Linked DNA regions of Callithrix jacchus. The protein of the gene in region 2 interacts with the protein of the main gene of each other region in a pairwise test. Links are inferred from orthologs where the notes say so. Each region holds a gene or a part of one and is shown on either strand. Other genes may lie near its edges. The genes, in order: MBNL1 and DAB1.

The links.
Region 1: the proteins of DAB1 (region 2) and MBNL1 interact in binary tests that used the Homo sapiens proteins (3 or more experiments, as listed by UniProt). The link is inferred for Callithrix jacchus from reciprocal best matches to the Homo sapiens genes DAB1 and MBNL1.

What each region holds. Positions count from the first base shown.
Region 1 is NC_133518.1:32,892,372-32,896,197, forward strand, and holds part of MBNL1 (muscleblind-like protein 1), read right to left. Parts: intron 1,317-3,826; coding exon 1,059-1,316; intron 1-1,058. UniProt on the Homo sapiens protein: Mediates pre-mRNA alternative splicing regulation. Acts either as activator or repressor of splicing on specific pre-mRNA targets. Inhibits cardiac troponin-T (TNNT2) pre-mRNA exon inclusion but induces insulin receptor (IR) pre-mRNA exon inclusion in muscle.
Region 2 is NC_133508.1:94,158,731-94,162,556, forward strand, and holds part of DAB1 (disabled homolog 1), read right to left. Parts: intron 2,290-3,826; coding exon 2,158-2,289; intron 1,525-2,157; coding exon 1,405-1,524; intron 941-1,404; coding exon 902-940; intron 1-901. UniProt on the Homo sapiens protein: Signaling adapter of the reelin-mediated signaling pathway, which regulates the migration and differentiation of postmitotic neurons during brain development.

The DNA.
Region 1 (3,826 bases), on a different chromosome or scaffold from region 2:
GGGTAGGTGAGAAAAAACAAATAAAAAAACAAATCATCGGAATGCCATATACAACGAATAACAAGACTAAGCATGCACAATAAAGGCACTACTGAGTTGTTATTGGGAGGATAAACTCCTCTTTGTAGTTAATTACGAACAAGATACTCTAACAGAAAAAAAGAGTGAAAGGAAGAGAGGAGGAGAGAGTCTGCCTTCTGTATTTTTGCTCAAGTATCCATAAACAAACACAGAAAAGATCTCTCTCGTGACTATTTCACTGTGTTATGAAATACTACACAGTGACCTTTAAAATGAATATTTCATTGATTTGTCATATATTTAGATTTAAAAATGACTACATTAAAACAGCTAAGCAAAGAACAAAGAATGGGCTCATTAAAATCAGCTATTAGATCACATTAAAATTTACCTTGAAAATATAGTTTAGTAGCTATTCTTAATGATCTAATTTTTAACTCCTCGAGTGCTACTGTCTCTCTCCTTTCTATAGAATGGCATAGTCAAGCTTCTCTAATTTACTATTATGTTTATGCCACAATATTATTTCAGACAATCTAGATAGTGTACTGTTCAAAATCCTGTAGCTAATTTTAAGAACAATTTTGTTGAAACAATTCTCCTAAATAGTTCCAGATCATGTTATTGTTAAAAGCAAGATATATGTAAAGAAGAGCCTTGATGTGCAAAAGAACACACCAAAGGAAAACAATGGCTGATTAGATGGCACACAGAAATAAGAAGACCGAAAATGGCAGTATCGTTAAATTGAAAAGGAGACAGGTGGTTCTTTACAAAGCAGAGATTTCAGAAACCCTACATCCAGAATAAGACAGAGTAAGAGTTAGGCCAAGAGTAGGAGCAATCTAAACCATTTGAGGAGTTACCCTCACTTCTGTGAAAGTAACTTCTTTATATGTTGTCTGGGATACCTGAACAAACATATCTTCAGCAATTTTTTTTCAAAAGCTTAATAAATGAATAGTTTGTAGTCAGATATAGTTGCTCACTTTGCTTTTCTGACTGCTATCAAGGAGAGAGCTGATGTTTCTACTCACCATGGCAGCTGCGGTGGCTGCAGCCTGTGCAGCTGCAGCCTGGTTGACCTGGTATTGGGCAGCCTTGATCTTGGCTTGCAAATGTGCAGGGGGATGAAAATATTTGCACTTTTCCCGAGAGCATCTCCCTTTGATGTAATCCATACACACAGTGACTGTGTTGTCATTGGTGTCAATCATTGTGCTGTCAGCAGGATGAGCAAACCGACAATCATTTTCTCCTCTGTTGCAATTGCCACGCTGGTACTCTCGACATACCTATGAGATCATTAAGTACATGAGGTTTAGTCAACATGAACAACTAGAAGCTTTCTGAAGACTTTAAGTGCAAGCCAAGTGATAGAAGGCTGTAGATGAAAGGGGAAAAATGATTTTCAAACAATGCAACAATGTAACTTCAGCCTTTCCTAGATTAGTTACAAATTATAATTCCATTTCAGTATAAATGTCCATAAGAAAGAAAATGCATTTATAACATTAATTATGGTAAAAATATAATCTGAAATGGTGTTGATATACTTATTAATTGCAAAGGGAAAAACAGTAACTTTAAAGTAAAGAAACATGACCGATATCACTTTAACCAAGTGACCAAAATTAACATCACCAGTGATACATAATGACATTGTGTACCTACTGATATGATACAATGAGAAGGACACACAATCAAAGTAGTGGTATTACTACCTGAATTTAATCAAGAGGAAACATCAGATGAAGTGAATGGAAAGATACTTTACATAATAACCGAGTAGTACTCTTCCAAAGTCTCAAGGTCATGCAAGACAGATTGAGATATTTTCACAAACTGGAGGAGCTTGGAGTCAGAGAAAGAATATTGGGAGGACAACTGGTAAAATTTGATTAAAGTCTGTAGATTACCTAACAGCAGTATATCAATGCTATTTTTTCTGGTCTTATGAGATTCCACAGTTATATATGATATTAATGTTTAGCTCAGTGAAGGGTTGACAGAAACTCTTGGCTCCATTTCTGCAACTTTTGGGTAAATATAAAATTATTTCCAAGTGAAAAATACAAAAAAATCAAATTTGATAGCTTTTTATGAAAATGTTTGAAGGAGTTATTTTTTGATCTTTAGAGATTCACTTGGTAGCTATATAAACCAGTAAAAATATTTTGGTTTTGTTATTGTCTGTTTGTTTTGTATTTGCTAATTCTGTTGATTTTGCCATGGAGATCTTAAGGAAAAAGAAAAAATTGATTATTTCTCATTCATCTGCGCAATTTTGACTCTTACTATTTTGGCCGAGGCGGGTGGATCACGAGGGCAAGAGATCGAGACCATCCTGGTCAACATGGTGAAACCCCGTCTCTACTAAAAATACAAAAAATTAGCTGGGCATGGTGGCGCGTGCCTGTAATCCCAGCTACTCAGGAGGCTGAGGCAGGAGAATTGCCTGAACCCAGGAGGCGGAGGTTGCGGTGAGCCGAGACTGCGCCATTGCACTCCAGCCTGGGTAACAAGAGCGAAACTCCGTCTCAAAAAAAAGAAAAAAAAAAAAAAAAAGCTGTCTCTATTCATGATAGTTTGACCGTTTTACCACAAGAGGGCCATCTAAAACACAGAATGTCCTTCTAATACTTCTCATGCTCTTCAAGCTTCAAGGAAACAGTTTTTAATTGTTGAAGTATCTTTCACAAGTAGTAAAAGAAGATACTAAGCACTTTATTTTGAAGTTAAGCAAGAAAGAGAAACTGTAACTGCTATGAGTTAGGAAGCAAAGGTTTTCTTGAATTTGTAGAAATAAAACGATTGCATTTAAATCTGGGTATTTTCCCCCCATTATATTCATAAACTATTACGAGGAAAGTGCTTCTTAAAGGAGATAGTATAATTTGTACCACACTACATTTTTAAAAAGAACATTATAAATGATATCTTGCACTACTTGGAAATCTCAAGCTAGCTAAAGTTTTGTGTTCCAAATACATATAATGAGCCAATGTCATTCATCACCACACACAGACTTATTACAAATACAAAAATGACTTAAAAATTTATTCATCATTCTGTTTTTTTGTAGTGTATTTATCTTATTGAACAGAAGAAAAAAAGTATAAAACTATAACCAAGATTTATAACTTATAAAGCAAAAATGATCAAGCTGTTACCCAGAATAATCATCCTCCTCTCCAGCTGAACATTAGAATAAGCTATGGAGCTTACAAAACAGTACCTAGTACCTAATCAAAACTTATTGTATGTGAGGCTCATCACTATACTCAGGAAGAGTGATGTGCCTACATTAAATAATGATAAAAAGGTGTGTGTGTGCGCACGCGTGAACATGCGTATACACACCAAACATAGACTACTGCATAAACAACAGGGCTACTTTTCTATTTAAGCAAATCTACGTCAGTGTAGGAATCACCAAACAGGAAACTTGCAGAAGGTCTATAACTGATCTCTTCCGGCTGCTGTTCACTCCTCAGTAATTCCTGCTTTCTTGAATATGCTCAAAATGTATCAGGAACTAACATTCCATTTTTCCAATTTAGTGTACTCTTTGCCACATTAACAAGAAAAAAGACCTGAAGTTAGTCTACTTTTAGGTTCTGTGTGTATTTGTGTGTGTATGGCAGGTGGGGGGGGGGTAGTTCTATAGGTTAGGAATTGGTTTATTATAACTTTACATTCTTTACTCTCCTGTGGGATGCATTTAGAAAGAATTCTAAAAAATACTTAGGCAGAGTTAATTACTAAGAATTAGCTTAGAATGTGTCCTAAAACCAACCTTTTC
Region 2 (3,826 bases):
TTGGCTTCTGTTTGCCATATATACTAGACACGTTTTCTTCTACAAGTTATCTATATTATTTTACTTCCATTGTAGCAGTACCGACTTTTTGTGTGAAAATATAATTTGTATAATATGCATATGTGACATACACACACACATGACATCTATGCATCCCAGTTAGAAATGTAAGTTCAAGATTTTCCTTTGTGTTCAAAAAGTCACTTTTTTTGGCTTCTTTTTCTCCTTGAAAATAAGCACAGGGGAGGGAGAGGCTGTCTTTTACTTTTTTTTTCTGCATTTCTGTTTGAACAGGGCGCATACTTGACCCTAAGAGAGATCATCTCTCTTCTCAGCACCGAGCTACAGATCTTGAAAAGAGTCCAGAGAGAAATCTATGGGCAGAAGTGTCTCTAGGGCACTCTTTCCTTCCTCCCAACAGCTTCTATGGCATGAGCCAGTTAATCAGAGGGTCAGCTTGCCCCATCGCGGGTCAGAGAGCCCTCCTCATAGCCTTTCTAACGCTTAGAAACCATCCTTTAGGTCTGTGCCCAAACATTACCAAAATGTCAGTCCCCACCTCTGGTTCTTAACTCAGAGAAGCCACCTCATTATTCACATTCTCTCTAATGAACTCCGAATATTCAAGAGACTCTTGAAAACATTCAGCTCTGGGATCAAACTTTTACAGGCTGTGAAGCGGGCTGAGGCAGGGGCAAGAAGGGAGAAGCGGATCTTCAAATCCCAAGATACCGATGCCGGCCAAACTTCTGTTAGTTTTTATGGAAATTTGCTCCTGGAGGGGCTGGCAGCCCTCACCCTCAGAAATAATCTTGGTCTCTCTCCAGGTTTTGCAGTCAGTGGATTCTTCACAGGTCTAGTCATTCTAGAATCTAAAACCCCAACTAGTTTCAGAAATTACCTGGTACACAGGATCTTCAACATCCTCTTCCAAGATTGTCTATTGCAGATCAAGGAGAGGGAGGGTGAAAAGCAGATGACATAAAGAAACAGATGTGAGATTGCATTCAGAAATTACAGGACAGTAAAGAAACCAGCTCTGGGCAGAAGAGGCTGGTGGCTCATCAAGGTAGAAAAAAAATACAGCAAAGTCAAAACCCTCAGAGCTAACCCCACCTCCACCCCAACTGTTAACAACAGCAAAAGCAATTGTGTTTCTTTGTCCTCTACCCCTGAAATCTTTCTCTGGATTCAAGATTTCACTTCATCCAATATGCCTAGAGTTTAAGAGAACAAGGGATAATTTCTAATGGTTTGCTTTGGGTCCTGTAATTTACACAGGAATCTTTCATCTTTGTTTATTCCTACTTGGCAGCAGGAAGAGAAGGCGCGACTGTCGGTTTTCACATGTGTTTATTTGAAGCCCCCATCTTCTCCAGCACAAGGATAAATTCTCAGGTATACCTGGTACACAGCTTGTTCACACTGCTTATCCTTTTGTGCCTTTTTTTCTAATTCTTCTCTTTGCTTCAATTCGTAAATGAGTTGAAAGAGATCTCTCAAGTCCAGAATAACAGGTTCAGCCTGGAGTGAAAGGTGGTAAGGCACATCATAAGGGAATGGTACTGAAAGGCAGCAACCAATTTTTGTTTTTGCAGTGACAACTTGCAGCCTTTCCTTTTTCTGTTAATCTGAAAGCATTCCATTCTTAATTAATTCTACCTTGTTTATATTGGCTTAGCAAATTGCATCTAGGCTAAAGTTCATTTCTTCAACTAATTATATTTGCAAATTCATAATAATCATAAGCATAAAAGGCATTGCTTTTATTTATTAGTGATTTAGAATACAGCAAAATTAGGGCAGACCTTATGCAAAACAACTATTTGTTTTCTCCTATTTTTTTCTTAAATGAGGTTATGAGCACAAGGAAACTTATTTGTATATGGTGTCTCCATCCAGTTTAATCAGAAAGGAAAATAATTAGTCATTAGGAAATACCCATTAGGAAAAAAAAAAAACAAAACTGGATGGGTATGAGCATGTTTCCTTGCTCCAAGCCTGTTTATCTTTTCTAGATGGGAATGTGAGCGTCAACTTCAGTGGAAATACATTGCTTGGTCATATCTCAGAGTGGCCTCTAAAAGACCGACGGAGTCACTGGACTGCCCCCCAGAGTTCCAAGGAAAGGCTCCTTTCTTGGATAGGGATACTCACCGCCTGGGCTGTTTTTATGGCCACAAATCTATGATTCCCTTCCTTCCCACAAACATATCCAAAGGCCCGGTGATCTGTAATGTCCTTGGCAATGTAGGATATTTCATGAACAGCATGATGATGCTGAAGGGCCTATCAGAGAAAAAAAAGAAGAACATATTTCAGGGGACTTTCCCTTCGAGCTGTTGATCAGTAAGAAATGTGTTTCAGCTATGTGTGAACAGGCCCAAAGGGCTTTGGAAAAGCTGTTTAGTCCAGATGGAAAGAAAAAGAGCTATGCCTGCCCTTGAGAAATGGAGGCTTCCCTCTATGGTCTTAATGCTGTGACCAGAGAGAAACACAGGATTGTTCATATGCTGAATAAGCATCTGCTTCGGTGCTTTATCAGCTTGCTAGAGCTAGTCAGTTTAGTCCAGTGGCTAGGCTTCTGTTGGCTCTTCTTTCATGGCATACCCCAGTCCAACTTTTGGATTAACATTTAATATACTGAAATACTCAGGGACTCTGTGTGCTGTGGTGGAGGATGTACACTGTACAACTCCAGGGAGTATCGTTAACATTCATAGAACTATGGATGTGCCTGGTGACAACACCATCCAGCAGATGGTGATAGAGTGTGTTGAGGAATAAACGCTTTTTTCTGTTTAGTCCAGAGTCACCACTGGGGGTAGAGGTGGGGCTATGCATATCTCTCAGGCTTTTCATTGGTAGGTCCCTTTGTCTGCAGTATCAACTCATTTTATTCACTTGCCCAAATCCTATTTCTCTTTCAATGGACACGTGAAATAGAACCACCTGTGTCAAATTTCCTCTGAATGAGGCTTGCCTTCTCTCTCCTGACAGAAATAATTCCACCCTCTTTTGTGCTTCTGTAGAACTTTACTTTCCAGTAACACTGAACTGATAAATTCCTCCAATGTTTGTCCCTGGATTTCCTTACCCTCACAGGTCTTCCTTCTCTGATATATTTGCATAATTCCTTGTCTGTCTTTCTCACCCAGTTCTGTCTTCCTTATCCCTGCCATCCTAGCACCTTACACTATGCCTGGCCCATAGTTGTTGAACTAAAGTAAACTGAAATTGATAATTAGTAATTTGAAAATCTTTTATAATTGACCTTCATTATCTGAGCTTCAACAAATAATGCTCACCATCCTATTGGGTAATGGTGATCTTTATGGTTATTTTCCTATATTAAACCTACTTAAAACAATCCTCATTCAACAGTACCTTGTAAAGGCTTATATATACACCTGGGTGCTTATGGTATGTTTAAAGTCCTTATACGGGGCATCATGAGGCTTGAATTTTAGCTTCTGTGTAAACACGAGTCACCCACTGTACCCCTCTGTACCTCAAGTTTAACCCTCCAGTAAATGGGAGGTGTAAACCAGATCAACGGCTCATAACTCAAAGTCCTGGATCTATAGGGTTCATTAAAGGTAATAAAAAGAGGCCCCATGCAATTTTTAAAATCTCAAAAAACTAAACAGAAAACTGTAATTATTCCTAATAAGTCTACACATTTCTATGTGCATGCAAATAAAAATGCCAAGTTTGTTTGAAACTTTTTTTTTTTTTTTTTGAGACAGGGTCTCACTCTGTCACCGAAGCTGGAGTGCAATGATGCACTCTGTGCTCACTGTAACCTTTACCTCCCAAGCTCAAG